7 separate regions of the Mus musculus genome follow, and regions 1, 2, 3, 4, 5 and 6 are each reported to be linked to region 7. Evidence: microRNA targets listed by miRTarBase, many of them from high-throughput screens and not tested one by one. Region 7 holds a microRNA gene; each other region holds the end of a gene's coding sequence.

Region 1 (4,491 bases), not on the chromosome of region 7:
GGGTGAGGAGGAAGCACCCCTATTATCAGACAGCCATTCTGTTGTCACATAGCAGTATCAGGCTCACAGCCAGTGCTCAAGCTCACATAAGCTGGCAAAGGGTACCCTAGTGATTCTGTGTGAGAATTCAGAGGGTGCCAAATTAACGAGACAATGCACCTATAGTCTATGATGCCCATGTAAATCAGTCTAGCATAAAGATACTTTCCTCAAAACCAGAAGCCTGGAAAGCAACCACTGGCTATATAATTAAATTACTGCCATTACAACACTACATCCCAATTTGGGAATGAGGCAAAACTCTTCCATCAAAAAGGAGTATGAGTTATCAGTAACAGGGGGTTATGAACTTAGGTTACATCAACTGTAACATCTCACTTCACAGAGCTTTGAAGCACTGCTTTCATAGTTCAGAACAGACCAGACCAGACTACTTTCTGTCAAGTTACGATGCCTGCGTCACACTACCCAAAAGTTGTGGCTTCCTCCACCCAATGCCCAAGAATGGATTGTTCTGTCCTGCTAGCCACTCACATCTGAGATCTGATAACAAAGAGTAATTGCTATTTGTGCATGCCCATGATAGTTAATGTGTTCTTTTATACTCACAGCTAAATAACTGCTTTGAAAATAGTTTATAATTCTTAACCACAGGGAACAGGAGATGCCAATCAAATATAATGCTCTTGATACTGTCACTAATTTCCTATTCACTGCTGCTCTATTACCACACCTTATTCTCATTTCCTTTTAGGAAATAAATACCCTGAAAGCAGATAACGATGCTCTGAAGATCCAACTGAAGTACGCACAGAAGAAAATAGAATCCCTGCAGCTTGGGAAAAGCAATCATGTCTTAGCCCAGATGGACCACGGTGATAGTGCTTAATCCAGAATTTCAAGGACCAGAATCTGCAGGAGGGTATACTGGGATCTCACTTCAAAACTCATTGCAGACGTTCAGCACCTTTAGATTGACTGACTTTAAAAGGGTAGAGCTGGCCACTACTGTTGACATCCTTGGTTTTTACCTAAACGGTTTTTAATGTGAGTCGTTGGTTTTCAGTCAGTTGAATCAAAGGGAAGAAAAGCTCAAGCATGCAAAGTCTGAGCATTCCTATTCTAACCTTCTTTCTTTACTGAAACCAATACCAAACATGCGCTAAAATAAGTCTAGAGTTTCCTGAGGGTGTCCCAGGCAGCCCGCTTTACTGATTCATACTTAGATAAAGAGTCCCTGGTGAATCCATTTGCTGCCTTCCGCAAACTGACTTACTTTGTTCTACCCAAACCCCGCTCATAACGGAAACAATAGCCTAAGCGTGGTGACTTTGACATGCCTGCATTGTTTGTGAAACTGATCCCTACAGTGTTCGCTACCTCAGACCTCATCAAGAGCCTCTTTCCCCACTGTCCTTCACTTGCCCGCCTCCTTCCTCCCTTGCTTATAGGCACATCAGCACATCTACCTAGAAGTGAACTCCTAGCGATGTAGCCTGGTTTTAAATCCAGAGCTTCTTAATTGAACTTGACATTGTCTAATTGCAGGCCAACTTATAGCTCTAGGTCTTAGTCATTATGAAATACAAAATAAAACTCACTCACTACCCACAAACAGCAATTACCATGGCATACACACAGCTAAATAGCTAAGTCAAACCACAATAACACGTTTATCCAGATAGTCTTTCTATAGTGGGTAGAATTAAGAATCTGTGACTTTTTAAAAGAAATGGTCTGTGAACAGTGTTTAATTCTTCATGTTCTAGTCTCTCTCTCTCTCTCTCTCTCAAGTAATCTATCATAAGGTTCTCTTTTGAACTGAATTTGTGCTTAAGTTGTCTTCACTTTTATTATCTACAAATAAGCTAATGGGTGTGACGGCTTTCATAGCTGGCAGTATTTACATGTGTGTAGAATGTATATATATAGTATCAGACATGCATGGAGCTTGGACCTTCTCCCTTAGAAAATGCAGACGTGAATCAAACACCTTTTAGTCACTTACACAAATTTGCAAGTATAGTTCTGCTCATTATAAGGCAAACTGCTAACAATGTAAATTGTTCTGCTTAACAAAACCGTGAGTAACAGTGTCCCAGTATTCTTTCGTGAAGGTTAAAATCAGTGGGTTTGTCTTGTTGCCTGTGAAGCAATTCACAAACTCTCTTGTCAGCTTCCTTTTAGCTTTCAAAAAACATCTCATCTGATTGTGTCCTTTTGAGGAGACTGTTTCCATGCTAGGAAGGTCTGGCACCACACTAACTTGTAATTTAATATGCAAGACAAGCAATTTAAGAGTCTCATCGAACTAAATAAGTTCCAAACCTAGCTGGGCAATGGGGACACATGCCTTTAATCCCAGCACTCGGTGGGTAGAGGCAGGCTGATCTCTGTGAGTTTGAGGCCAGCCTGGTCTACAGAATGAGTTCCAGGACAGCAAGGGATATGCTGAGAAACTCTGTCTGGAAAAATCAAAGGAAAAAGTGTTTAAAAGTTTCAACCCTACGACCAAGAGCATAAAGTCTACAGAGGAATATGAACTGTACATGGTGCTGCCCCCTAAAGGACTCAAATCATTTAAGATATTCCTTTGATGAAAGACCACTGCCTGTTTGCACACCTCTTTGGAGCATTTCAGTGACAAAGAGCTGGCTTGTGGTGAGTGTCTCTCTAAACTTTAATGAACTACTTTACACACAGTTATCCTTCTTCTACATCCCATCTCAGAAACGTGAAAAGCATAGCACCTGGTACTACGCCTCTGGCAGGTGTCTATATTATGTGGAAACTTTTATGGAGTGATAGGACTAATGGAAGACCTCAAAATTTGTATTTTCACTCTGTTATGCACTAGTACAAGTGTAGAGCTTGATTCTTTAGACAATGCCTTTTTCTTATTTCTCATCCCCAATAAAGATCTCCCAGTGAGATTTTGTGTAAATAATCTGTAATATAGGAATTCAGAGGGCCTCAGTCATTTATCACAGCTAGATGACCTTACAGACAGCAGAAAGGACAGGAAAGATAGTGGGAGACAGTAGTTTTCCTCACAAATTCTTACATTCCAGCCAAGACAAAGGATGTGTGAAGTCTGAGTTGGTACTGTTCCTGCAGAATGGTAGGAGCAGGTGGGATCTCCTGATACAATCTGGAACAAAGTTTGGCCTGTCACATGAGGTTTTGTTTACCAGGCTGTCTTGAAATGTCTGGGCAGATGGGTGTCTGCCAAAGCAAGGACTGATCCTGTCTGTGAACAGCAATGTCTCTGCTCTTCTTCTCTGTGGAGTGACTCACCCATTTACTGACCACTTGTGAAATTGTCTAAAGATGTATACTGTAAAAGCTTCGAAAGAACTGTACAAACTGTAAGATATTTTATACCTATTTTATGTTTTCTGTGTCTCATATTTATATCATAAAAACATTGGATCCCTATAACTTCAAAGTCGTGTGCTTCTTCACTTTATACATATGTAGGCATTTTGTTAAACTTTTTACTGGAATTCAAACCAAAAATGCTCCTCCAGTCTATTAAAAAGGGTTTTCTGGGGGGGGACCCCTAGCTTATTTGGGTTAAAATGTTCTTCCTTTTTTACAGGATGAGGAAGTAACAATGCAGATATGTCCACCTTATAATGACCTCTCTGAACATCAAGTCTGTCAAAGGCTCAACACCAATTAAAGGGGCCAAAGCTATCATCTCCTGTGGCTCTTATCTTAATGCCACAGTTCTAGCTAAGAAAACCAGTAAGGAAAGAAGACAAAGTAGACAGAAAGACGGTTCAGTCTCGTGTCCCGATCCACTCAGCAATTCATCTGTGGTCACTCTTTGGAGTGATCAGAGGCACCATTTGTTCTCCCTATCCAGATTTTGATGATGGGACCCATGCAGAGGAGGATGCCAGCCACTCACACATTGCACATTGTGGTACATTTGGGTTGGGGGATGGGGTGTATCTCCATAATTAATGTTATTTTAGGTGAAATAACGAAGTCATTCTGACAAGCTGACCCTGAACAGAAGGTGAAAGTGCTTCTTGCCCACCCTCATTCCCAGCTCACAGATCTCACCACAAGCTCTTCGTTACAGAGTGGATAAACCAGATATCACTCACTATGTGTTTTGGCTACAAAGCCTCACGGTTTGCCACAAGTCCTGGTAAATGAGAAACACCTAGTTCCCTCTGATGTCAGTTCATGGGGTTGGATGGTACTGAGCTCGCTCAGCCCAGGGGAAAAACTCAGTTGCTACTTTAATTTGGAAATTTCTAGTCCGATTTTGTCCACAGATGCTCATAGGTGGATAAAGACATAGAAAAGGGGGAAGACAGTAAGTATAAGAAAATAGGAGGAAAAAAACCCCATGAAATTAAAAATAGAATCAACATGCAAAAAGGTATCAGGCTTCAGGGAACTGTGAAATGCCATCCATCACAAATGTCCATGTGCCCTACCTAATCCATTTATAATGTTCTTGTGTGATGAACC
Region 2 (4,491 bases), not on the chromosome of region 7:
AAGTCAAAGTATTATTTTCAGATATGATAGGATAGATAACAGACCCTAAAAACTCTACAGATTCCTGAGCTGACAAAACACTTTCAGCCAAGTGGCTGGATACAAGATTAACTCCAAAAATCAGGAGCCTCCTTTATAACAATGACCAAAAGACCGTGAAAGAAAAGAAGAAGAAAGAAGAAAGAAGAAGAAGGAAGAAGGAAGAAGGAAGGAAGGAAGGAAGGAAGGAAGGAGGAGGAGGAGGAGGAAGTATCTTGGGGTAACTCTAACCAAGCAAGTGAAAGGATTATATGATAAAAACTTTAAGACACCGAAGGAAGAAATTTTAAAGAGAGGATGCAAAGCTCTCCCATGCTCATGGATCAGTAGGATTGGTATAGTAAGAATGGCCATCCGACCAAAAGCAATCTACAGATGTAATACAATCTCCATCAAATTCCAACATGATTCTTTACCGGTCTTAAAAGGTCAATTTTTAGCTTCATATGGAAACACATAACCCAGGATAGCAAAAACAATCCTGGTGGTCATCGCCATCCCAGATTTCAAGTTGTGGTATAGAGCTACAGCAATAAAAACTGCTTGCTATTGGCACAACAGACATGCTGATCAGTGGACTCAAACTGAAGACCCAGACATAAATTCACAAACCTATGGACACCTGTTTTTGGTTTTTTGTTTTGTTTTTATAAATAAGCCAGAAATACACACTGGAAAAAAGAAAGCATCTTTAACAAGTGGTACTGGTCAAACTGGATGGCTGCATGTAGAAGAATCCAAATAGATCCACACTTCTCACCCTGCACAAAACTCAAAATCTAACCAAAGAATAGTCTTAAACTCACTAGCAGAGGGAAAGACTTTCTGAACAGAACACCATTAGCATAGGAACTAAGATCAACGGTAAATGGGACCTCATAAAACTGAAAATATAATGTAAGGCAAAGAACACCATTATTCCCACAAAGCAGCAGCCTAAGAAGGGGAAGATTTTCCTAAGTATGTATCACTGTTATCCAAAATACAGAAAGAACTAAACTAGGTATCAAGAAAACCGTCCAATTAAAACATGGGGGACAGATATAAACAGAATTCTCAGGGAGGAAACACAAATGGCTGAGAAAACACTTTATAAAACTGGAACCATGACATTCCCAAGTATACAGATGGGCCTAGAAAAAAAGCCATCCTGAGTGCAGTAGCCCACACCCAAAACAAGAATGGTATTTATTTGTGTATGGATATTAGCTATTAAGCTGTGATAATCATGCTTCAATCCACAGAACCAGAGGTTAGGTAGAGTACAGGATTAGGAGGAACAAATCTTGATAGGAAAGGGAATTAGACTATACTTATGGATGAGAAGGGGGCTGGAATGGGAAGTTCAAGTGGGGAGGAACAGGGGAGAGAGAGGATGAAGGAACACAGAAGAGCCAACTAAAATTTGGGCATTTGAAGAGTTGTATAGAAACCTAATACGGTAGAAGCTTCCTAAAATATATACATATATGAAGGCAATCTATATCCAAATAGTGGGAGGGAGAGAGCCCCAACTGGCCATCTCTGTCACCAAATGAGGTTTTCAGTAATTGGGTTACATCGAATTGAGTTGTTGGCCAAAGGGAATCTGCAAACCTAGGCTGTTGCTAGAATCAGTTGCTCTTCACAAAATGATGACAAGGACCCACTCAACATGGAGAAGTTGAGGTGATGCCCACAGAGCCTCCAACCCTATGATCTAGCATCTTTGGTTCAGGAAGGTACTCTGATACTAGCAAGAGAAATGTAAGCACCAACCAGCCATAAACTCTGACAACGGTGTCTTCCCTGCAATATATGCTACTGCTACGAAGGCACAAAGCGTGTGGGACTAATCAACCAGCACCTGGTTTGACTGAAGCACCCCTTCCCCATCCCACCCGAGATGGAAACCATACCAAGAACCTAAGACTGGGTAGCCCAGAGACCTTAGGTAAAACCAAATCCTAATGATCTTTTAACAAAATATATAGTGATAAAAATGACTCCCAAGCTGTCCAGCCATCACCAAAGCTTCTTCCGACCACACCCAACAACCAGATTCGCAACCAGATGTTATGCAGAGTGCCAGACTCTGGCACGCTCAGCCCGATACAGACCACCGCAGAAGAGGAAAGAGGGGAAGGAGGGCAGCAAGACAAGGCCATCTAAACCAACATGATTAAACCGTTACCACCTCAGAGATTGAGGGAGCAGCAGAGAGCTTGCACGGGTTTGCGCCAGGTCCTTTGCATACATGTTACAGTTTCTAATTTAGTTTATTTATGGAACTCCTGAGTGTGCAAACAAGTGTTTCTTGTGTGTTCTCTTGGGTTTTCCTAGCCTATTTCTGTTTTATCTTACTCTATTGTTTTACTGTTACCCCTTAGAATTCTAATGATACAAGAAGGGAGTGGCTCCAAATAGGAGAGGTAGGGAGGAACTGGATGGAAAGGGTGAGAACCCCCCCCCCCCCCGCCCCGTCAAGAACCCTTAAAAAGGCTTCTTGCAATTACAAAGTCCATTCCTTAATCACATAGTTCTTCCACTATTTCTCACTGTGTGAACTTCAAACTGTCAACATTTAATTTTAGACTCTATTTTAAAGTCTGAAAGTCATTTTCTATTGCCTTTTAAGCAGATTTTGAACATTTTTACCTAAATTGTTTCTACACTTTCTTTCCACAACCCTGCTTCTAACATGCTAGGCCCCACTCCTGCCTTTAGATCACTGCAGATTCTCTGCCTCTCAGATTCTATTGCTGTCAACTTATTTTCTGAACTCTAACTCAACTATCTATTACTTCCACGAAGATCAGGTTCCCACTATATGTAAGATGTATTTCCACACATATATACTGCTCTCCGGAGAACTATATATTCTTTATACAACCGTTTTAACTAAACTATTGGTAAAATCCATGAGGGTAATGATTCTCTATGCTCTGCTCTCCCACTAAAACCCAATACTGGCCGTGAAGCAAGCCTTCCCATTTCTACTCAAGAATGACCAATCACAGGAAACAAGGCAAACTGAGGCTTATGTTTGGAGTAAGTCCAAGCTCTGCTGTGCACTGACAATCTTTATCAGGTTAGATACACAGCCATCTTATTTCTGCTAACAATAAAAACAAAGAGCCACTTTGTGCAGAAAAATTGCCAAAGCAGGTTTTGGCCAGGGTTCCTGTGTGTTTGTAGTAAGCCAAACGCTCCAAAGCCATTCCCCTGAAGAGTGTAAGAAAGATCCTCAACGTCGCAACTAAAGAACTGAGCTATGGGGGAGGAGAGACTACAGCCACTGAAGCTGGGCCCGTAACTAACTGTTCACCCAGGTTTTAAGCCTTTGGCTCCAGCAAAACTTTAAAGAAATCAATGTTGCACAGAAAATTGTCTGAATTTTTTAGAGTGTACAGTTTTATTGTCTTTTGTTGAATACACATTTGTCTTATTGCCAGTCCAGATAACCAAGTATATAAAGAAAATACTAAACTTTGCTTTTGGCAGAAGCCAAGATAACCTGTGCAGATTAAAACGACTTACTTCAGTCTAAGAAATGGTTTTGAATCATACAAATCTTTTATGAAAAATAACTGTCCAAAAGCATTCTCCTAGCTTGTAACACACTTCCAGAATAACTCTCAAAAAAAAAATTCAAAAATACTACCATAAAAATATGTCAATACCATATGGCTTTATGAAATAACTTCTAAATTTTTTTGATTTTTATTTAAAAAGTTTCCCAAGTTTTAAATAAACAGCTAGCAACATTTTCTTCACTTAAAAGTGCATATATCTGGGAATGGGACATACATAACTTTTTGAACAAATAATGAATTTTACAAATTAACACACACAGTTAAGATATTTTAAGAGGCAAAGTTTTTCCAGGAAGTCATCTAGACTGCAATAGATGACTCTTTACCTTTTCCCCACAGCCTCGGATTATCGAGGAGGGGCTCTGGCAGTCTTAAGACACATCACAGTCTCTACCAGGAGACACTGATGACAGTGAGGTCCGTGGAGATGGCACTGGTCTCGATGGTTCAGCCTGAATAGACACATTACTCGACTGGCTCTCCAAATCAGAGGCAAAGGTGCTTTCTTCTCTTACATCAAGAGTTTGTTCAACTGGGACTGCCGGCGAGTCACAATTCTCCACAGTTTGGCTGGTGCTCAAGTCATCAGCAAGTGCTGTAACGTCACAGTCCTTGTCCAGGACACCAAGCTCATCTTCGATTGTGACAACATCTTTAGTTTCAAATGCTCCATCTTGTATAGGCTGTGGAAGACTGCCATTGCTACATTCAATACCCGCCTTTACTTCAGACTCTCCATCGCTGTCACTGTCGATGGTTATAACCACCGGCGACCGTGAAGTATTATCTCCATGGTGTTTCTTATGCTTCTTCTTATGTTTCTTCTTTTTCTTCTTATGGTGTTTGCTTGTGTCCGTAGCCTTTCCTTCATAAACTA
Region 3 (4,491 bases), not on the chromosome of region 7:
AGGGGCATTAAACCATTTTGCAGGTGCTAGAAAGCAATGCTTTCCTGTTTTCCCAATTCAGACAATGGGGAAGCTAAGAAGAAAAAAAATAATAGGAAAAGGCTTTCCTATATTTGCTTTCAAAAAATATGTTATTTTGAATGGAGTAATCTTTTTTTTTTCCTTTTTTGGTCAAATCTCATCTCTGTTCCTTTAGTTTGGGCAGAAATATTTATGAGAAAAGAGAGGCAGAACAAAATGACCTAGTGATCCCATCCACCTATTGAAAGTTTGGTTGGTGATAACAGTCCACGCGAGGCTCATGGTTAGGAACTCAAAGAGGAGGAAAACTTGATGAGGAGGTAAAGAGTTCTTTCTCGGCAGCTTGCCCTGCACTGTGAACATGTACTCAAAAGTATTTGTGTTTCATTCCACATTATCCAGTGCTCTGGGGAAGGAATCAGGGTAGACCTTCCCAGAGGCTTACTCGGTTTCCCCGGGTATGAAGCTGAAGGAAAGCAGCCCGCTTCTCTTCTTTCTGCTCCTCTTCTGTCTGGCCTTTTTGCTCTCAGTTAGAGACAGGTGGGATTCATCCAGTTACTGTCATTAATAAAACACCATGATGATGCGTAGCACCCTGAGCTGGTGATGACAGTGATGGTGACGGTGGTGGTAGTGGTGGTGGTGATGGTAGTAATGATAATGATAAGTGGGTCTCCAAAGCCAGAAAATGCATACATTTGGGGTTGCATCAAAGCCATGCTAGACACCAGGGAAAACTGAGGCTAGACTTCCTTTGCAAATAGTGTTTAGGGCTCTCTCTCTCTCCAGGCACTTCTTTCTGAGTAGTTTGTTTGTTTGTTTGTTTGTTTAACTCCTCAAATTACTGGGGGTGAGGAGGTATTGCTTTTTGACTATCTTTAATAATGAACAAAAATAATGCAAGGTACTAGGAGTATAGGGATCCTGGAAGGCTAGTGTCTACCATACTCATGTGCTGGCTACCATCGCCAGAACCACATAAAATACAAAGGACAGTGATGGCCACCTACAACTCAGTAATGGGTAGGCTGGAGGCCTGAAGGTATGCCCCTCCAAAATACAGTTTTTCCAGGTCTGGACTTAAGAAAATTCTGTTGCCAAGTAGTACTTCCTCTGGTCCTCACAGGCAGAGGAGTGTTCTGTCTCTGCTCACTGATGTCGTGGGTAGAGAAGGCATAGCCTAACACACCTTTGGTCCAGTAGAAGTTCACTTATTTATTGCTTTGCCTCTTAGATGCCCTAAGCCAGAATTTTCCAGTCTCAAGTATGAGGACAGCAAGAATATATGTGAGGCTGGGCAGTGGTGGCGCACACCTTTAATCCCAGCACTTGGGAGGCAGAGGCAGGCAGACTTCTGAGTTCGAGGCCAGCCTGGTCTACTGAGTGAGTTCCAGGACAGCCAGGGCTATACAGAGAAACCCTGTCTCAAAAAAAAAAAAAAAAAAGAATATATGTGAAAATAAAGCACCCATTTAGGAACAGTGAGTGGCTCCATTGGCTTTGCCACATGAGGTATGGTTCTCCTGAAGGCTTTGGCAGGTCAGGAGATGAGAGAGCTCTGTCTCCACGGGAGTGGCTCATGCTGAAAGCACACTTTGAGAAAATATGTTCCTCATCATTCCCTTCCCTGTTGTGGGTCCCACAGAGTGGATCCTGTACCCCTAGGAGTATTGGAAATGGAGCTTCATGTCTATCCCCTAAGTCATCCTGGTCAGTTGAAGTCCTACACAGCAGCCTGGGCATAGATCAAACACAGCTGTGGGGAGCCTAGATTCAGTTATCTTCCTCATCTCCAGCCATAAAGGTGAGCAGTTGAAGGCCTGGAGGTAAAAGTGATGCTTTTAGGGTCATGTCCGTATATGCAGATACTACCATGGCTCTAAATTCATCTGAATGATCTGAAAGGCTGGTAATGCTGGTCTGCTGGTAATGGATTAGCTGCCAATCTCAGTTATTGCCAGGGATCCTGTTCCAAACACCCAAACTTCAACTGAAAGCCAGATGCTGAGTTGATTTTTAAATGCACTCATTTCAGGCATCCCACTGAGCCCGATCTTTTTCCCATTACTCTCCACCTTGTGTTTTCAGAGAGAGAGAGAGAGAGAGAGAGAGAGAGAGAGAGAAGAGAGAGAGAGAGAGAGGGAGGAGAGAGAGAGACTAATAAAAATATCTTCATTTTAAATTGGCCAAAAAAAGGTATTTCTCTAATATATTTCTCTAAGATATTTCCAAAGGTCTTGAATCTGCTTGTTATTAACGTTCGATTCCTGGATATCAACTTGAGGGATGGGTGCCTTTGTTCCTAGAAACCAAAGTTCTCTAGTCTGAGAACAAAGACTCTGAATCTCATGATGGAGACACATTCCATGTCTCAGCTTTTCAAACAGCAGAGACAACTAAGATGAAGCCTCCCAGAGATACTGAAGTGACTCACCAGGGATGCCTTCCAGTCCCCAGACAGACCTGTGCAGCTGAAACAACATTACCGTCAGCAAGTTTAAGGGACACTTTTGCAAGTTTAAGGGACACTTTTGTAAATGGACACTTTGAAATAAACATGTCAATCATAAGATGGCTCTAAGCAGTTTTAAAGGCTGGACATTTTTTAGCTGTTCTCTCTTCCCCTTTCCCTTTCCCCTCTATCTCCTTTTTTTTTTTTTTAAGAAAAAAAAAGAGAGAGAGAGAACTTTCTTCATGACTAATCCTTGGTTTGGTATGTGTCACGCCAACAAGATAGGGCTCAAGTCCTCCAGATGTACTTTTAACTGTGAAGTGGACTAAGGTAAACTTAAATGGGAGCATTTAAAATAGAGCCCATCACCTGGCTCACACATCCTTTCCTTACGTTCAGAATGAAAGCCTCCTAAGGCTTTCTGAGCCTACAGTACCAGCTTCCAGTTAGGGACAGTATAAAGGTAGACAGGGTGCCCTGCAGTGGAGTTGGGGCCTGTGCTAGCGCAAAGACAAATGAATCTAGGAGTTTTGTTATTGTTTCTCAATAATCAGGTGTGTGTTAGCATCAGTTCATTCTGATATTTTCATTCAAATATCTGTTAAAACAATCCCCTCCTGCCTCCCCCTCTGGATTATGCTTTTACCAAGACCTCTCACTCACTTGAAGCAACTTCCCAACTTGTAACTTTGCTTGCCCATAAACCCAAGGCTATCAGAAAGTTAAGAGTGAGGGGATACAATATCTAAACTTCCTGCCAGCTTACTCCCTAAGCAGTTGGTTGAACTTCCTCTCATTCTGACAGTTTCAACAATACCAAGGGGGCTGGGGGGGGGGGGGGGACGTGAAGGGGAAATGCCAGAAGGCAAATGTACACAAAGGCAGCCATCCTGAAAAAGTCCCTATAGGAAGGGTAGAGCACTCTCACCTAGTTAAGTAGTTTTAAATTGGTTTGCTGTCTGTCCTGTGATGGAAAGGAACTGTTTCCATTGTAATTAGCACCAGTAACTCCTTCGATGATAAATCAAGTGATAAGAAAAAACTTTGAAGCCCCATCCCCCCACCCTGTCCCACCCCTCTGACTCCTTTCCCCCTAATTAGGAACCAGAGGAACCAGTTGCTATTGGATTTGAAAAGGGTGTTTGAGTGAGGTCTGTCAATATCCACAAAACTCCCCACAATGACAAACCAACACACAGCTTTCACCCCCAGACATATCAAAGGCACCAAGAAAATACCTGCCTATCCCAAGCCACCAGGTTCTTAAGTGGAAGGTGCACAATTTTTTTGCTGAGAGTCCAGTCAAGTCATTCAGAATGATGTGGCTTCCCCCTCATCTAAGAAGGTAGCTCTGAAGGTAGTGGCAGCTGTCTCTAAGGCCACATAGTCTTCAGCAGTCTGTCCCTGGTGTTGGGCTGTGGAAAACAGAAGATTACAGTGTGAGATGCCATGGAACTCTGCCATATCTGCATCCTTGGTCCCCTTGCCGCTACTCCACATGAACTCATAGGACAGATAGGCACTTTTGGACTGGGCTGCTGAGGTTGGCTTTAAACAACAAATGGCCTGCTGACTGTTTGTCTCTGCTCTCAGTTCTGTGGTCTGTGCCTCCCAGGCCTACATCTGGCTGCCCAGCTACCCAAGTAACCTATGGCACTTTACCTGTACTGATTCTCCGGGGCTTGGCTCTCTGCTCGCTCTGGAACCCAGGAATAGCTGTCGGCTGCATTCTGAGGCTTCTTCTCTTTTATCTCCTCCTTCTTGGCTCTCCGTTTATGATAAATGAGAATCCCTAGGGCCAGCACCAGCAAGAGTGAGATGGCCACCACCGTCCCCAGGATGTAAAACAGAAGCAGGTTCTGCCCATCGGTGTCACTGTGTGCAGACACAGAATCTTCATGTGTCGGCTTGCTGTGGCCGGAGGTCGTGGGGAGGTATGTGCCCAACTCGAACCAGACATCAGATACTTCACTAGGGATTTCTATTTCTAGTGGAACAGAGGCAGTGGGAATATCTGA
Region 4 (4,491 bases), not on the chromosome of region 7:
TCAAGATCAGGATCACAGATGAGCCTTCCAATTCTGGATTGTAGTTCATTCCACATATAGTCCATTTGACAACCAGGAATAGCCACTACAGGGGGTAAAGACTATAGCGGAAACTTGAAAGCCTAACTTTTACCATTAGTCACATGGATGTACATAATGATAGGATGTAAAATGTTGTGTGTATATGATATAATGTAACTAAACCAATATAGACTGTATTCAAGTTACATAAAGATTCAATACAATGAGGTCAAGGATTAAGCCTTACTAAAGTCCCTAAAACACTAAATAAAAATTAACCTGGCATGTACACTTGGAAGCAGTTGGCACAGGCTTGTACTTTGTTTTGTGCCTTGCCTTTCATCTGGTCTCTAATGTTAACTCAAAGGTTCTTGGTGGTTCTAAGCGTTGCCTAGAAACCCATAATCTAGTGAAGAATAATGGAAAATCACTTTTCCTTAACATAGTAACTAGCTAAGACAGCAATGCAACGCTGAAGGTGCAGCTCAGTGGGAAAGTGTTTGGTCTAACATACATGAGGGTCTGGGTTCAATCCCCAGGAACTGTGCAGAAAGTTTCCATAGCACAGTTCCATTTCATTCTGTGTGATGCATATGTAATGTAGTCGTGTTTAATGTTCCCTATCCAGGAGAAGACGGGCGACTGGCGTACGAGCAATTAGACAAATTCCCTCGAGATTGTGTTAAAGTGGGAGGTCGTCATGGAACCGAAGTTGCCACAGCCTTTTAAATTTCACGTTAACCCTGCCTGACTGCTATTCCGATGATACCTGGCCCCTGTTCTCAAGAGGGTGCTGTGATGTGGCCAGACAGCAGAGAGCTGCTGCCGCTGCCAAGACGGAGATGTCCAAGTCCAATTGCACTGTACTGTCTACTTTTCCTTAGCCCACAGAACAGGGCTGTGTATAACTCCCTGGACTGCATCGTAGTTTTGACTGACAGCACTTCAAAGTAGAGTTTGAAAGTAGTCATCTTTATGCCTTTGTGGAAGTTCATCTGTAAGCTTGAATTCTTCATGTGCTATTTGGATACATACATATCGTATGCCTTGCCGTCTTTCTGCTGTGTTCTCAGGGTTGAGTGGCCCCTTAGTTACCGAATTTTATTAAACAGACAAAGCACAAAAGGAATGTACTGCAAATAAAAGTTGTTGTTTTTTTTTTTTATTTTTACAGAGCCTGGCAAAAGTGATCAGCTATAAGACAGTAAGTTTTGGAGCTGAGGGTGTGGCTCCCTTGGTAGAGTGCTAGCCTAGGGAGCAGGAAGCTTGGGTCTATCCCCAGCACTGCACAAGCTGGCTATGCTGCGCATATAAAATCAGTGCTCAGAAGAGAAGAAGGATCAGAAGAAGTTCAAGGTCATCTTCAGCTACCTAGGGAGTTCCCAGGGCAACCTGGGATACATGAAGCTATGGGGGTTGAGGAGACCTAAGTTTTCTGTTTTTGTTTTTGTTTTTGCTTTTTTGGTTTTTTGAGACAGGGTTTCTCTGTGTAGCCCTGGCTGTCCTGGAACTCACTCTGTAGACCAGGCTGGCCTCGAACTCAGAAATCTGCCTGCCTCTGCCTCCCAAGTGCTGGGATCAAAGGCATGCGCCACCACGCCCGGCTGGGACCTAAGTTTTATAGCTTAGTTTTTTATAGTTCCTACTATTTGTTTCTATTTCCATCCTGAGAATCCCATATCATCTATCCATGTGGTTTAAGAGAGGAACGGAAGAATTCTGCTTCGTTGAGGTTGTGCCTATACTATTAAAAGTAAGCAAAACCTTAAGCTTTCGTTCTTTAACCAGAGCCATCTTTATCACACTCTTGGTTTTTTGTTGTTTGGCTTTTGTTTTGTCTTGAAACAGAGTCTTCCTATTGTAGTCCTGACCAACCTGGAACTCAATATACAGTCCAGCCTGACCTCGAACTTGCAAGGGTTCTCCAGCCTCTGCCTCCAGAGCTGGGGTTATAGGCACAAGCCACTAGGCCTGGTTCTACATGTGTAATTTTTTTTTCTAAGACAAATACACACGCCTAAGTTGTAGATTCAGAAAGATGTATTTCTCTTTTAAGTGAAAACCTGGACTTTGGATGAATCCTAAGTCACTGGACTACATTGTAGTTGTGACTGACAGCACTTCAAAGTCCATCTTACCTTACCGTAGAATTTGACACTGGACAGAATATTGAGGTACTGAAAGTGGTTCCTGCTTCTATAGAATAGCCATGAACCTTGGAAGCAGGATGCCCTGAGAGATGGAAACTGCCCCATAGTTTCCACAGCAGCTCAGTACCAGGGTAGAGATTCAGTCTCTTACAACGTGTGCAAGGAGTGGGGATGCCAAGACATCACAATAATATGTGTGGGTGCAATGTGAACTGTATTCTGGATGTGTTTGTATAAAATACCAATTAGATATTAGTTCCAATATTTACATTTCAGCAAGACTTTTAAAAGTTCCTTTCATTTTAAAGTGAAAATTGTTCGCTGGGCTTCTTGCAACACATCCTTTCAACTGTGAAGTCCCACTGTACATATCTGTATTTTTGTAAATGTTATATATATGCATATATCCCTCATTTTAAAAGTATGTTGTACAGTTATAGTATGTATAGGCTACAGTCTTTGTTAAATGGTTGAAATGTCTCTTTTGTAGAAAGTGAAATCACAGCTATTACAGGGCTTTTGTTTGGTTTATTTGTGGATTTGAAACAGTTTTGAATATTGCATGGATAATTAATTTCACATCTTTTGTATCCACCTCTGTGTCTGGCTTTTGGTTGGGAAGTGCTTTTAGGTTTGTGATATTTGTATTCATCCCTCTTTCAATCATGTAAGTCAAAATAAAAATTATTTTTAATTACTAGTCTAGTGTAGAATCTGATATATATTTATTTATCATTTTTATCTGTTACTATGTGTGTGTATAATGTGGTGGGGGAGGGGTATACATGGTGCACCTGTGGAGGTCAGAGGACAACCCTGTGGTGTCCATTCTTTCCTTCCACCGTTACGTGGGACCCCAGAATCAAGCTCAGATTGTTTTCAGGTTTATACAGCAAGGGCCTCACTCACCGAGCCACCTCATGGTCCTTCTCTGTTTTCCAGTCCCTTCCAGAGTTAGTATTTATACAACACACTACTCCTCATTGTCTACTAGAGCTTCTATCCTGAAGTGAAAAGCATAAGGGAATTTTGTATCCCGACAAAGTAGCAGACTGGAGTCCACAGGAGGAAAGCAACCACTTAAAACACCTTCAGACTGAGCCAGCAGCCTTCCTGCCTTGCCTGAGTGATGCTATCCCACCAAAACCAGCCTTCCAGTAAGTATCAAGGTCTTTACTTAGTGAACGTTCTAGCTAGGCCTCTGCCCACTTTGTATTGGTCTTTGCCTCTCATCTATACCCAATATAGGTTCACTGAATACACTCGGAGTTTCTTCTCCCAATTTTTAAAAAAATGTCTTGATTTAGTTGCATATGTGTGTGAATATGTACATGTGTATGTTGGGCTTTGCACTTGTACACACATGAAAGCCAGGAGAAGTCAGATGTCCTCTGTCCCTCACTGCCTATTCTTTTGAGGCTCTCTCTGAATCCAGGGTTTTGATCATTTGTCTAACCTAGGATCTAACGAGACCCAGCAATCCCTGTCTCCTCACCCCTCCTCAGACCTGAGGTTATAGGCAAATATACAGTGCCCACCTGGGATCCAAAGCAAGCGCTCTTAACAGCTGAGCCACCTCTCCAGCCTGTTCCCTGCCCACCCTACCCTGGTTTGAGACAAGGTCTTTATAGCTGAGGCTGCCCTTGAACTCATTATGCAGCAGAGAATGACCTCAGCGGGAGCTTCCATTGAGATTTCAGAAGAAAAAAACTGAAGCATGCATGTGTGGCAGTGTAGGAGTCCTGCGAGGGGTACCCACCCACCCCACTCCACCCCACTCCACCCCACCCGAGGATGACACCTCATGAAACTGCACCGAATGAATCCAAAGTCTGCAGAGGAAGAAGTTATGACCTGACTGTGTCGTGTCTGCCCAAGAAGCCGCAAGCAGTAGGCAGAGCCAGGCTGAGGGAGCAGCCACCTGGTTGGCAAGGCTTTTTTTGGAGCCCACATCGCTGTGTCCTGTATGTTGGCCACGAAGCTGGAAGACCTCATGTTTTCTCTGCGGGGGTTTTACCTTCACCTTTGATCCTTCCTTTTGGTACCATAGTCCTCCCTTCTGGAATGGGAATGTACCACTGTAGTTTGGATTTGGAGCTGACCACCAAGCAGCCCTTCCTGCAGCTATGTATGAGCTCACTGTTTTTTTGTGGCTGACACTGAAGAATGCGACTAATAAGCCAAAAAGTTATGATTATAATACTCATGCTTTGTTATCTCAATGTCTATTTTATGAGGAGAGTGAGAATGGAGGTTCCCAGAAAAGAAGCTGCACTGCACGTTAAACATCCGTCAAAGGCTGACCAGCTAATTAGGACTT
Region 5 (4,491 bases), not on the chromosome of region 7:
CAAAGTGAGTTTCAGGACAGCAGGGCTATACAGAGAGACCCTGTCTCGAAAAAACAAAAAAAGATGTTGGCCATAAGTCTGGGCATGAGGAGGAGTCTGCCAGGAGGACAGAGAGCCACAGCAGAGTGAGCCAAGGAGAGACTGAATGCAGTAACTTGGGCCTGTGGCTGGAAAGTTACTAGATAACATAAAGGGTTGGGAATATCTCCCAATTATTGTGCTTAATGCTTGTTGAATAATCTATAAGTCTCCATCTCAATTACTTGGACACTAGCCAGGTTAGAAAAAACTGCAACCTTTAAATTTCATTCTATAGTCAAAGCCAATTAAGGTTTTACAAAAAGCTTTGGAGAGAGGTGAAAGCTAAGGTTTGAGGGAAGGGAAGGGCGGGTTTAAGAGGGTGCACTTGAGGAAGGGACTCTAGGACCCTTGATCCAAGTAGCTCCAGTGTCAGCTATACCCAGTAGACAGGCTCAATCCCTTAGGTCTCCAGTGCCTTGTAACAAGGTTCCTTATAGATGCATTTTGTTTGCTGCCTAATATGTGGCCTGCTTCTTGACACAGGTAGTTTTGAATCCAGCATTGTTCTTATACTGGATTTGAACCATATAAAAGAGGCCATGTCCAAGGGCCAAGGAGCACAGGAGAGGCCCATCAAGGCAGATACAAAGCATGTCTGAGTTTTCTACACCAACCAAGGGCAGGAGGAAGGATATTCCTTGCAAGTATAGGACCAAGAGAGGTGGTAAAATGGCACTTTCAGGGCCTGGGAGCTGGAGGACACCTGTCTTTAGATAGATGGCCTCAAGTCTAGTACAATTCTTTATTGCTGCTTAGCAGCAGAAACCTAATTACAGCTTTGCATGGCACTAATTATTGCTTCTTTCTGAGCTCTACTGGTACAAAGCGGGTGCTACACAAATCGCCCCATTCAAATTCAGACAGTGCTGAGGTTTTTATCCTTTTTGTCCCCTCTAAACCTTGTGTTGAAATTTGGCCTCTAAGTGAGTTGATTGGAGGCAGGAAGGGCCTGTGAGAAGTAACAGGGTTGGGTGTGTGTTCTTGTTCTTGGGGACTGGATTAATTTCTGTGAGAGTGTGCCATGCTATTTTGTTTCTTTCTCTTTCATGTGCACCTACTTGTCCTTCTGCCATGAGGCCCTCACCAGCTAAGCAGAGACTGGTGCCATGCTCTGAGCCTCCAGAACTCTGAGCCAAAAGAGATTTCTCCCTTCATAAGCTGTGGACTCACAGATATTTTGTTATACTAAGAGTAAACAGAATAATAAGATGGAGTTTCATAAAGCTTGCCAGCCAGCCGCTACAATCTTCCTTGCCCAAACAAGCCAACCATTGTCTCACTGAAAAATAACCTAAGAGCTGATAGCAGCGTCTTACTTTACATTCTTTTGGGAGAAGGTCTGCCTGTGGCATGTGACCTTCTCTCTTTGAATAGCACTAGACACAGCACATGGGAGCAGATACTGAAACTGCAGGGTCTGGGTTCAAATCTTGATGGTATTTTCTAGCTATATGACTGGATCATCATTTAACCTAAGGTATAGTTCCATCATGAGGAAAAGAATGCTTATCTAACAAACTAGTTCAAGCAAAGCTCTACAATAATAGCTGGAACCTAGCAGACCATGTTAGCTATAGTTTTATTGACATACTTGACTAAATATGTCAAGGTAGCTCTCAATTGATAGCTCTGACTAGCCTGGAACTATGTAGACCAGGCTGTCTTCAAATTCAAACACGAATCTGCCTCTGCCTCTGCCTCCCGAGTGCTGGGATAAGGCTTTGTCTGCCATGCCTTGCCTCTCTGCTGGTTTTTGTTTGGTTGTTTTGGGCCTTGGTCCACCTGCTTCTGCCTCCCGAGTGCTGGGACGTGAACTACCATGCCTCGCTCTCTCTGCTATTCTTTAAGGGAGATTTTATTTAGAGAATGGATTGAAGGAGCTGAAGAGTTTGCAACCCCACAGGAAGAACAACAGTATCAACCAACCAGAAGTCCCAGGGTCTAAACCACCATGTAAGGAGGACACATGGAGGGACCCATGGCTACAGCCGTATATGTAGCAGAGGATGGCCTTGTTGGGCATCAATGGGGGGAGAGGCCCTTGGACCCGTGAAGGCTGGATGACCCAGTGTAGCGGAATTTGAGGGCAGGGAGGCAGGAGTGGGTGGGTGGGTGGGGGCACACCCTCATAGAAGGAGGAGGGGGGTAGGAGTTTGGGGGGGGAGAATTGGGAAAGGGGATAAACATTTGAAATGTAAATAAATATCCAATAAAAAAGGGAGATTTTATTTAAAAGTTAAGAGTTTCTCAGGGCAGTGGTGGTGTGCACCTTTAATCCCAGCACACAGGAGACAGAGGCAGGCAAATCTCTGAGTCCAAGGCCATTCAGGTCTACAGAGTGAGTGAGTTCCAGAACAGCTAGAGCTGCACAGAGAAGCCATGTATTAAAAACAAGTCCAGGGGGCTGCTGAGATGGCTCAGCGGTTAAGAGTGCCGCCTGCTCTTCCAAAGGTCCTGAGTTCAAATCCCAACAACCACATGATGGCTCACAACCATTCGTAATGAGATCTGACGCCCTCTTCTGGAGTGTCTGAAGACAGCTACAGTGCACTTACATATAATTAATAAATAAATAAAAAGAAAGAAGACAAGTCCAGCGTATGTAGCTGTGCTAAGGAAACGGGGGAGGGCGGGTTATTATCCAAGTCTCATCTTCTTGTGGGGGGGGAGGGGCGGGTTATTATCCAAGTCTTATCTTCTTGTGGGGGGGTAGGGGCGGGTTATTATCCAAGTCTTATCTTCTTGTGGGGGGGGGGAAATGCCCAGTGGTGAAGTCCAGGCCTCACAGGGGTGTGGGGTAAAACTGGAGTTATGAACCCCTTTACCTGAAAATGACCCTGTTTCCAGCCTGCCAAAGCCATATTGTAGTTGTTCATGGTTTCTAGACTTGCTTCCCTTGTTCATATGCATTCCATTTGATGGGAAATATGGTTGAACTGAATACAAAGATAAATTTTGGCAAATGGATGGAGCTCAAAATGCTATGGGTTGTGTGGCTATGCCAGGTGGAAGGATTGAGGAAGGTGTGGGCCTTTGGAAGAGGCAGCAGAAAACTCGGTCAAGTCTGGGTGGGTCCAGCCACGGTATCTCACTAAGATTTGCCTCATCCTCAAACCTGGGGACTCTGGCTTTCAATAATTGACATACACCCTGCATAATTTAGAGTTGTTTTATTAAAAAAGAATAAAGAGGAAAGAGGCCGGGCAGTGGTGGTGCATGCCTTTAATCCCAGCACTTGGGAGGCAGAGGCAGGCGGATTTCTGAGTTCTAGACCAGCCTGGTCTACAGAGTGAGTTCCAGGACAGCCAGGGCTACACAGAGAAACCCTGTCTCAAAAAAAAAAAAAAAAAAAAAAAGGAAAGAGGAAAAAGAGGGAGGGGAGGGGAAGGGAGAGGGGGAGGAGGAGGAGAGAAGGAGGAGGAGGAGGAGGAGGAGGAGGAGAGGAAGAAGAAGAAGAAGAAGAAGAAGAAGAAGAAGAAGAAGAAGAAGAAGAAGAAGTAGTAGTAGTAGTCAAACAACAAAAAGCCCAACCGAAGAATTCTTGGTTCTGTGTGTCTGGGAGCAGCTTAGGTGTGTGTAGGGAAGGTAGAACCTGGAAGACAATAGGGGACTTAGGCAGCCCTGGGAAGAACAAAAGCCCAGGTGCTGACTGGAAGTACAGCATTTTCCCAGGACTTAGTCCCTCTCTGGGGCTTGTGGTCATCCACTAAACACAAGTGTGGGCTCAACACCCCCAAATGACAGGTGGGGTGCTCAGTCCCCAGAAAAAGGCAGGGTGGGCAGTACTAGAACGCCCTTGGATTCTTCTCAAAGTCACCAACAAGTTGGGAAGGAGTGGGTGGCCCATCAATGCCATCCCAGAAAGTGGGGTTCGAACGGGCGACACTAGGATGGCAGGCTCAGATGCAGACGCACCTCCATTTGGACACAGGGCTCAAGGCCGTGGGGAATAAAAGGGCCCTAATGGAGCAAGACCTGAGTTCCTGGAGGCAGGCGGATCTCAGGTACCCTGGGGGATACGGGGCAGTGCTCTTATGGGCCGAGGGGGAGGATTATCCAGGACAGATTCTGGCCTGGACCGCACACCACCGCGGCGTTTTTGCTTCCTCAACAGATAGTTTGAGTACTGCACCTCGGGCATAGCAAGCTTGAGGCAAGCCTCCGTAGTAGGGCCAGCGCCGCCGCTAGGCAGATCATAGCCCATGATGTCCACTTTGCGGCTAGGCTGCCACGGCTGCAGCTGCTTTGTACGAATCTGGGCAGCGGGTCGCAGCACCGGCTCGTCGCCAAAGCAACGACGCAGCAGACGCTGGCGGGCCTCGCGCAGCTCGCGCGCTTCGCGCTCCACGCATGCGCGGCCCGCGCGCGCCACGCGACGCCAGAAGGTGGCGTTGAAATGGTCGTAGAGGC
Region 6 (4,491 bases), not on the chromosome of region 7:
TCCTAAACTCAAAATAGTGAAAGCCACAGACTACATATGTGAGAGGGCCACAGATATGCCCAGATTCTAGTGCACTGAAAGGGATACCTATATAGAAACAAGACACTGCAACCATTTAGGCCACAAAGCATTACTTACTGTCCTCTGCTTCAGTTCCTGCCTTGACTTCTTTCAGCAATTGATTATTATTTGGATGTGTAAACAAAGTAAATCTTTTTCTCCTCCAAGTTGCTTTTGGTCTTGGTGTTATCGCACCAATAGAAAGCAGACTAGAATAATGACTAGTGGTCTCTTTGGTCATTTTTGGTCTTGATTGTTCCGGTGTTCTTCCTTAGCCTGGATAAGATTTGACTAACACTTCTTGGCCTGGCTTGCCATGTCCATAAAAGTCTGAGATGTCTGTAGCCTGGAGTTTCCAGACTCTTACTGGCAAGAATCGCTGGGCCCGTGGTGGTACACCCTTTAATCCCAGCACTTGGGAGGCAGAGGCAGGCGGATTTCTGAGTTCAAGGCCAGCCTGGTCTACAAAGTGAGTTCCAGGACAGCCAGGGCTATACAGAGAAACCCTGTCTTGAAAAAAAAAAAAAAAGAAAGAAAGAAAGAAGGAAAGAAAAAGGAAAAGAAAGAGAAAGAAAGAAGGAAAGAAAGAAAGAAAGAAAGAAAGAAAGAAAGGAAGGAAGGAAGAAAGGAAGAAAGAAAGAAAGAGAGAAAGAAAGAAAGAAAGAAAGAAAGAAAGAAAGAAAGAAAGAAAGAAAGAAGCAAACAAACAAGAATCAATGTGGGCAGGGACTAGCACTTGGCTTCAGCCCAACACACAAGTGTCCCTCAGAATTTCAAATATTCCTCCTGGCCATTGTATCACTGAGCACTAGACAGTTTATTCCTCTGCATGTTTAGAACCTGTAAGATAAAACACTACAGAAGTCAAGGGTACTCCTCTTGGTAATATATCAGGTTAACTGGATTGAGATGTTTCTTAATCTTCTTTCAGTCGCTAAACACAGATACATTTGGACACAGCCATAATTATTGCCTACAATACAATTTTAGGCAGAGGATGATGCTGGTATCTCAAATGTCTTCAAAATTATCAGTGATTAAAGGATACTTTTGACTTATTCCACTGAGTAACAGAACGCAGATCTGTATGCTTTCAGAGCTAGAGGAACAATAAAGGTCCTTCAGTTAAAAGACCATTCCTGTGCAGTAAAACTGAGGATTGAATAGTGTGGTGGTTGACTGTGCTTGGCCCATGGTCTTATTGGAATAGGTGTGGTCTTGTTGGAGGAAGTGTGTCACTATGCGGGTGGGCTTTGAGGCTTCTATGCTCAGGCTCTGCCAAATAAGGAATGAGAGCTTCCTCTCTGACTTACTGTGGAGGAAAGTGCCCTTCTGCCAGTGATTCCTGCCATGATGATAATAGACTGCACCTCTGAAACTGTAAGCCAGCCCCAGTAAAGTGTTGTCCTTTATAAGAGTTGCCATCGTCATGATGTCTCTTCACAGAAGTGAAGAAACCCAAACTAAGACGGATAGTGTGATGCTTCATCTTGTCAATTTGATTGGATTTAGGTTCGCTGTGGGAAAACACCTCTGGATATGCTTGTGAAAGTGTTTCCAGAAGGAATTAGCCAAAGAGGGAAACCCTACCCTGAATGTGGGCAATGCTATTCCATGGGCTGGGATCGCAGACTGAATAAAAAGGAGAGAGCTGTCATCTCTCTCTACTTCCTAAATATGGGTTCTATGTGACTAGCTGCCGCACCACCTCCCACGGTCCCTTCCCATGTGATGGACCACGAGTTCACACCATGAGCCAAAGTCAACCCTTCCTTCCTTAAGTTGCTTTTGTCAGGTACTTTTGTCACTGCAGTGAGGAAAGTAACTAACATAGTTAGGTAAAGTGCCTATTCAAAATAATTAGGGAAAAGTGGAGAGAGATGGGAACAGCTCAGAGATTCTGAGCCATGTTACAACAAAGTGAAATGGCAGAGACTCATAGAAATTTAACAATACAATGGAATATTTCAAGAAGCAATTGACTGAGTGCACATTAGCCTCTACTTTGGTACACTGTGTTTGGAATGAGTGAGTCACACAAAGGACAGACTGCAGTGCCATCTACATTAGTTAAAAGACAAAGTAAAAAGAAATGCTTAGCTATGGGCAAAGTAACTTCCTCCCAGGCAAAAGTGACTCACAGATGCCCTCCCTGCTCAGCAGAGGTTGGCCTCCCCTCACTGAGGCTGGTCTAGGAATGGATTTAGAGGTTTTGATTTAAGGATGATGCAGGTAGGAGATTACTTGCTGAATAAATCTGTGTCCCAGGGCTAGCCAGCATTACTCGGGGTCTTATTCCTATATCCTACTTTTATTTCCTCTTGAGGGTGCACACTGTGCAGCAAGAAACAAATCCATGCAACTCGTGCAGGACACATGGTTACATAAACTATTGCACTAGTTTTCTGAGGCTGCTGTAAAAAGTTGCCATCTATTCGGTGATTTCGAGGTTTATTATCTCACATTTCTAAATCCCTGAAGGCTTAAATAAAGATGCAAATGAACAAAGCCATGCTTCCTAATAGAGTCCTAGGGAGAGTCTGGGCCTGGGCCGTACTGCCTTTCATAATCCCCGCCATACCCTGCCCTACACCACTCTACTCTCTGTTTCTGTGGTCCTTTAACCTCCATCCTCATGTTTGTCTTTTTTCTTTATCTTTCTCCCTTATACAGATGCAACTCATTAGATTTGGAGCCTATCTTACTTATCTTTTCTGCACAGATCCTATTTCTCTATCAGTTCATACTCAGATACAGAAGGGTCAGGACTTCATGTATATTTGGTGTGGGACACAATTCATCCCTCAATAGGTGGTATCCAAACCACTCACTTATTCAGTTCTTCTCTTGGAATCAGGACCACACAAGTCCTTACATGGCCACGCACAGTATCTTTTATATTTACTTTCAGATGGGGGGGGGGGGGAGTAGAGAAGAATGAAGAAACAAACCCTAAGATTACTCACGCGTCTTAGTTAGGGTTTCCAATGCTGTGAAGAGACACCATGACCAAGGCAACTCTTTAAAGAAAAACATTTAATTGGGGCTGGCTTACAGCTTCAGAGTTTCAGTCCTTTATAATCAAGGCAGGAGCGCGGCATTTTCCAGACAGGAATGGCAGAGGAGGAGCTGAGAGTTCTGCATCTTCTTCCGAAGGGAACCAGAAGACTGAATCTCTCAGGCAGCTAGGAGGAGGGTCTCAAAGCCCACCCCCACAGTGACACACTTCTTCCAACAAAGCCACACCTCCTCCAACAAGGCCACACCTCCTAATACTACCACTCCCTGTGGGCCAAGCATATTCAAACCATCACACTCAGGGTTACTGTCACAATAAAACCTTTGGTTGGTTGGTTGGTTTTTTTCATATGTGGTAAGTCTCTCATCTCAAGTTTTGAAACTTGTCTTTCAATTTACACTTGGGTCTTTCTCTTCTGTCTTCTATAACCTCACTCCAACAGACACAGAAAGGGTGGTCTTTTGAAGATAATCTCATCCCTCAGTGGGGACATTTTTCCACCATTCTAAAAGCAAGATAAAAATTTATACACACAGAATACTGAGACCTTTGAGTGAATAACAAAAAGGGAGTGTGTAGATCATGAAATTGTTCACTTGTTCTTTTAAAATAACATCTTAATTGCTAAAAAGATTTCAGTGTACCCTTGTCCTTTTTATCTTATATACATCATCATGGTCATATCCTTCAAGGTCCTATCCTTCATATTAGGATGTTGCAAATGTGGGTACCTTCCCCCTTTTCCTTTCAGAATGAGGATGAGAGAGAGGTAACACCCCCTTAAACTGAATCCAGCATTTATGCAGAAGAGAGGTTTCAATGAAGACCTCAGACGTTGTTCACTGTTGGCTCTGTCACAGAGAGATTTTGGCATCACACACAAATGTCCATCTCAGAGGTGTCTGTCCAGAGGGGAAACCAGCTGGAAGTTGGAGGCTGATCTGGATGAGAGTTGTCACTGGAAGAGCTCCAGGTAGTCGGGCAGCTTGTCTTGTTGACCACAGGGGTACAGAAGGAGTTCCTTCCCCAGAGAGGTTATGGGCTCCTCCTGTCAATCAAAGCACAGGGCCATGAGGCAGCTATGTGGTAGACGTTCATGCTGCTCCTTAGGGGAGATCACTCCTCTACCCTGGGTTTATGCATACCTAGATTGGCTTATGACAATACTAAAAGAGATTTCCCTCCTTTCAGTTTCCCTGTCCTACTGAAGCCCAAGTTCTAGCATAGGAACACCCTCAGATATGCTCAGAATATACATCTCTAGTATTCTCAGCTCCCGTGGGATATCTCTGAGTATGCCAGGTGGATATGAGAAAGGAAATACAATTAAAACCCCTTGTTACCAGCAGAAATTATGTGCTACCACCATCCCTTTGCTCAAGGGTACTTGAGCTATATCCCTAGTCAGGCCT
Region 7 (4,491 bases):
AGAGAGAGAGAGAGAGAGAGAGAGAGAGAGAGAGAGAGAGAGAGAGAGAGAAAGGAAGAAAGAAAGAAAGGAAGGAAGAGAGAGAGAAAGAAAGAAAGAAAGGAAGGAAGGAAGGAAGGAAGGAAGAGAGAGAGAGAGAGAAAGAGAGAGAGAGAGAAAGAAAGAAAGAAAGAAAGAAAGAAAGAAAGAAAGAAAGAAAGAAAGAAAGAAAGAATTATCCTTCTTGTTGCTGCTGTTTGAGGCACAGTTTCACTTGTAGCTGCTTGGCCTACCCATTGCTGGAATTAAAAGAATGTGCCATTATACTTGACCAAACCCATATCTCTATCTGCTTCCCCAAGCCTAAGACCTAGCAAATTGCTGGTGAGGCTTGTTTGTTCAATTAACAAGACATCTAAAGTATATTAAATATGCCTGGAATTAATGACTGAACTGGGCATACTGGTATATGCCTATTCCAGCCCTTGGAAGATTGGAGACAAAGACTTATGAGTCCCCACTAACCAAAGAACACACATGGGCTGGACCTAGGCCTCTTTGCTCACATGTAGCCGAGGTGTAGCTTGACCTTCATGTGAGTCCTAAACAGCTGGAGCAGAGGCTATCCCAAAAGCAGTTGCCTGTCCCGGAGTTATGATGGTCAAACTGGGCTGCTTTGTCTGGCCTCAGTGGGAGAGGAAGCACCTAGCCCCACAGACTGGAAGTGCTGGGGGGGGGGGGGCGACTCAGAGGAGAAGACTGGGGTTGGGGGAAGGATTGTAGAAGGAGGTGACCTGGAGGGGGGCAGTGAGTAGGATGTAGGGTGAATACATTTTTAAAAATTAAATTAATTTTTTAAAAATGTTCCATTACACACACACACACACACACACACACACACACACACACACACAAGGTGTAGACTTAGGAGTCCTAAATTATTCTTGGCTATTTAATGAGCTTATGGCCAGCTTGGCGTACTTGAGCCTTGTCTCCAAAAAACAAACAAACAAACAAACAAACCCTAAACTCCAAGTCTGCAATATGCCTCTGTAGCTTTAGCCCTGCCGCCTGGAGACCTAATTTCAATCCATGGAGCTATTTAAAGATATTTAATAAATAATAATAACAACAACAATAATAATAACAAAAGAAAAACAGCCGGGCATGGTGGCACACGCCTTTAATCCCAGCATTTGGGAGGCAGAGGCAGGCGGATTTCTGAGTTCAAGGCCAGCCTGGTCTACAGAGTGAGTTCCAGGACAGCCAGGGCTACACAGAGAAACCCTGTCTTGAACCCCCTCCCCCCCAAAAAAAACATATTTAAGCATAGGAGAAAACTAACTCTATCATATTGTTCTTGGACCTTCATATTCAGTGTGGGAAAGAAAGAAAGAAAGAAAGAAAGAAAGAAAGAAAGAAAGAAAGAAAGAAAGAAAGAAAGAAAGAAAGAAAGAAAGAAAGAAAGAAAGGTAAAAAAGAGGGAGGATTTGAAACTCTGGATTTAAAAAAAATTCAAACGAAAGAATAAACTGAACCTCCCACATTCTTCCTTTATTTATTTTTATTATTATCTTAATACTGAATGTAGCCCTGCCTAGTCCCGTGCCTAGTCACCATAGTAGACCAAGCTGGCCTTGAACTAACAAAGATCCTCCAGCCTCGGCCTAGAAAACTATAGGATTAAAGGCGCTGCTTCTAGAAACAAACAAAGAAATCTGTTTCCTCTGGGGGGTGGGGGGGAGAAGAAACCAGTGAAGGTCACTCTGCCGCAGGGAAACTCAGCTCAGAGGAAGCAGGGTGGTAGAGTAAGGATTCTCCGGGGTGGGGGAGGGGTATCAGAGCCTCCCAGTCCAGGGGGCCAATGAGCCTTCAGACTATATAAGAACCTAGAGCCTCCCCCACGCCTCTCAGAGACTTCTACTCCACATCGGGAATGCTGGTCTCTGCGGTCTTCAGGGATACCTCCGGCGTGCTGCTTCTCACATAGGCAAAGGTAATATTTTTAGTTTCAGATTTTTTATTTCCTTCAGTTCTGTGGTTTTAATCTACCTGGTTTAGAGAGGCGAAAGTAGATCCAGGATTTCCAGAAGAGAGATCTTCCTGCTTCAACTTTGGAGATGACTAGCCAGGCTGGCCTTTAACTCTCATTTCTGCCTGCCTCTCTGCCTCCAGATTAAAGGTCATCACGGCCATCTTCATTCTACTTTTTAAAAACTAGAGCCCCTTTTTTAAAAGGCAGGCTAGCCGCGAACTCAGCCTTCCTCGCTCGCCCCCACGGTTTGGCTGGGTTTACTAATCCCGAGGCAGAGGCAGGCCCATCTGAGGTTGGTCTGGTCTCCAAAGAAGACATTTAGAACTAATGTGTGTGGAAAAAGAGTTGGGCTTTTTTTTCTGACTTGGTCTACATAATTTCAAGGGAGGAACGAGCCTATGTGGGGAAAGTGAGTAGTCTGGGCGCGAGTGAAGTTTGGGGACCAGAAACCAAAGCTAGGAGTTACTGAGGGCAGGTCTAGGGAGTCTATGCAGTACATTTCATTAACTACGTGGTTTCATTGTAGAAATTTTGAGTTTCACTATACCTTGAGTTAGACCGATGTACTAACTCTTCCTTGATTTCATCCAGGTTTCCTTCAGGTTGGAGTGAATTTTAAGTTCTCCACGTTCTTTCCTCCTGGTAAATGTTTTAACGTCTGGACCGCCTCATCTTGCGGTACTCAAACTATGGGGGCACTTTTTTTTTTCTTTAAAAAGTGCCGCCTAGTTTTAAGCCCCGCCGGTTGAGAAAACGGCTATCTGGCACATTTACCAGCCCTGGTGCCACGTGTTCCGGGTTAACTGCAGCGTGGTGAGTACGGATTCGAAGAAAGGAATGAGACTGAGTATAGCGAAAGGCTAGGGATGGGCATCCTGCCCAGTAGACGGTAACTGAGGTGGTCGTTGTAGGGTACCTGGGGGCTCCATGTGCGTCCTGTCGCTGCTTGGAGCTGTTACACCTATGTAGCGGCCATCAAAGTGGAGGCCCTCTCTTGAGCCTGAATGAGAAAGTGCTTCCACTTTGTGTGCCACTGCATGGGGAAAACATCATAGCTTTGCATCTGACGCATCGGTTTACAGGAGCGGACAACCTGTGTGGGGGTTTAGGCTTGGAGTTTAATGGGTCCTATCCTAAAGAGGGCGGTTCAGTTGGGTGCCACGAGACGCGGATGGATGTAAGGCAGTCGTGAGTCCAGGTGCATTGTAGATTGTTCTTAAGCTTGACCTCCAGCCTGTGATACTCAAACTGGGGGCTCTTTTGGATTTTCATCGGAAGAAAAGTGCCGCCAGGTTTTGAGTGTCACCGGTTGAGAACTCAAAACGGCTAAGAACTAAGAATTAAGTTTTAGTGGGTCATGTTTTCACTGGGGTTGCATTTCTGGGCAGGTGGGTGTCACATGTGGGTTTGAGTCCGAACACTTGGGCGCATGCGGTACTAAAGGCTTTCCGCGTTCATAAAGGAGCCGGGATCCCACATGGGCCTCGCTCGGAGGAGCTGAGCCTCAGGTCTTGGAAGTTGGAACATACAGTGTCGATCAAAGTGGAGGCCCTCTCCGCGGCTTGGCGGGAAAGTGCATCCATTTTGTTTGTCTCTGTGTGTACATGGCGTCTGAAAAGCCGGCTGCAGCTGCAACCTGGAATCGCTTACCTGCTTGAAACAGGTATGTGTGCTGGAGGTGAATTCGTTGCCACTGGCTACTCGAGCTGCAAGGCTGGAGGTGAGGAGGAAGCAGGGCAGGGTGGAAGGAGGCACTCCAGGTCCAGGGGTGGTGAGTCTAAGCCTCAGGTCTGAGTAAAGAAAGGCCTACTTTTAAATCTCACGTGGCCGCCATATTAAGTCCTCTTTCAATTTTTTTCCTTTTTCTCCAAACAGGGTTTCTCTGTAGCCCTGGCTGTCCTGGAGCTAACTCACTTGTAGACCAGCCTGGCCTCAGCTCCATCCACCTGGGATTAAAAGATCCTATATATCTTGCTTGACTACTGTAGTTGCTATATCTTGCTTGACTACTGTAGTTGGACTGATGGTTGTGAGTCTTGATATGGTTGGATTGAATTTTTAGGACCTGCTGGCTGTAGCTGACTTTAACCTGGCTCCTAGCACAAACAAGCTTGGTGGACAGCCGGGTAGATAATACCCATAATACCTTTTGGCTTTACAATAGCCCAGGCTCATGAGGGCTGGGATTACAGGTGTTACATTGTGTGCCCTAAGCATAATCTTCATGGATTCTCTTTGTTTTTCAGGTGTTCCAGTTGAGTTGAATGTAATCCTGCCTAGCCTGGGGTACTTACTTGCCTTCAACCTGCCTGGCTGGCTGGTCTGGCTAAGAACTGACTATAAAGTTTCAGGTTTATTACCACAGCAGGTCCCTGTGGAAATGCTTCAATCTGTGGTACTCAAACTGTGTGACATTTTGTTCTTTGTAAGAAGTGCCGCAGAGTTTGTAGTGTTGCCGATTGAGAAACTGCAGTTGG

The links. The annotated mature microRNA mmu-miR-290a-5p reads ACUCAAACUAUGGGGGCACUUU and lies in region 7 at 2,695-2,716, shown strand. An mRNA with a match to its seed (bases 2 to 7 or 8) in the 3' UTR can be bound and repressed. Matches are read on the target gene's strand: a 7mer-m8 pairs with bases 2 to 8, a 7mer-A1 pairs with bases 2 to 7 and ends in A, and an 8mer does both.
Region 1: miRTarBase lists Rasgrp1 as a target of mmu-miR-290a-5p. Seed matches in the 3' UTR shown: 7mer-m8 at 2,400-2,406.
Region 2: miRTarBase lists Topors as a target of mmu-miR-290a-5p. Seed matches in the 3' UTR shown: 7mer-A1 at 3,655-3,661.
Region 3: miRTarBase lists Cd93 as a target of mmu-miR-290a-5p. Seed matches in the 3' UTR shown: 7mer-A1 at 1,445-1,451.
Region 4: miRTarBase lists Ripor2 as a target of mmu-miR-290a-5p. Seed matches in the 3' UTR shown: 7mer-A1 at 1,490-1,496.
Region 5: miRTarBase lists Gal3st3 as a target of mmu-miR-290a-5p. Seed matches in the 3' UTR shown: 7mer-A1 at 3,887-3,893 and 7mer-A1 at 3,411-3,417.
Region 6: the mRNA of Sh2d4a is a reported target of mmu-miR-290a-5p. Seed matches in the 3' UTR shown: 7mer-A1 at 3,258-3,264.

What each region holds. Positions count from the first base shown.
Region 1 is chr2:117,278,940-117,283,430 of GRCm38, reverse strand. Rasgrp1 (RAS guanyl releasing protein 1) reads left to right here. Exons shown (of 17, transcript NM_011246.3): 17 at 755-3,448. The coding sequence ends at 889. Among named protein-coding and RNA genes, the nearest start is that of Fam98b, 31 kb to the right of the region's middle.
Region 2 is chr4:40,256,196-40,260,686 of GRCm38, forward strand. Topors (topoisomerase I binding, arginine/serine-rich) reads right to left here. Exons shown (of 3, transcript NM_134097.3): 3 at 3,411-4,491. The coding sequence ends at 3,986. Among named protein-coding and RNA genes, the nearest start is that of Smim27, 11 kb to the right of the region's middle.
Region 3 is chr2:148,437,380-148,441,870 of GRCm38, forward strand. It overlaps Cd93 (CD93 antigen), which reads right to left. Exons shown (of 2, transcript NM_010740.3): 1 at 4,136-4,491; 2 at 1-3,888. The coding sequence ends at 3,864. Among named protein-coding and RNA genes, the nearest start is that of Cd93, 3.9 kb to the right of the region's middle.
Region 4 is chr13:24,730,936-24,735,426 of GRCm38, forward strand. Ripor2 (RHO family interacting cell polarization regulator 2) reads left to right here. Exons shown (of 23, transcript NM_029679.2): 23 at 650-2,871. The coding sequence ends at 750. It also overlaps a transcript of Armh2 not described here. Among named protein-coding and RNA genes, the nearest start is that of Armh2, 8.0 kb to the right of the region's middle.
Region 5 is chr19:5,307,485-5,311,975 of GRCm38, reverse strand. Gal3st3 (galactose-3-O-sulfotransferase 3) reads right to left here. Exons shown (of 3, transcript NM_001024717.2): 3 at 3,237-4,491. The coding sequence ends at 4,082. Among named protein-coding and RNA genes, the nearest start is that of Gm42064, 2.6 kb to the right of the region's middle.
Region 6 is chr8:68,346,290-68,350,780 of GRCm38, reverse strand. It overlaps Sh2d4a (SH2 domain containing 4A), which reads right to left. Exons shown (of 9, transcript NM_028182.1): 9 at 3,077-4,127. The coding sequence ends at 4,035. Among named protein-coding and RNA genes, the nearest start is that of 1700125H03Rik, 20 kb to the left of the region's middle.
Region 7 is chr7:3,215,945-3,220,435 of GRCm38, forward strand. It overlaps Mir290a (microRNA 290a), which reads left to right and starts at 2,682; the gene lies at 2,682-2,764. Mir290b (microRNA 290b) reads right to left here and starts at 2,751; the gene lies at 2,694-2,751. It overlaps D7Ertd143e (DNA segment, Chr 7, ERATO Doi 143, expressed), which reads left to right and starts at 2,840. Exons shown (of 1, transcript NR_028425.1): 1 at 2,840-4,491. Mir291a (microRNA 291a) reads left to right here and starts at 2,975; the gene lies at 2,975-3,056. It also overlaps Mir292, Mir292b, Mir291b, Mir293 and a transcript of Nlrp12 not described here.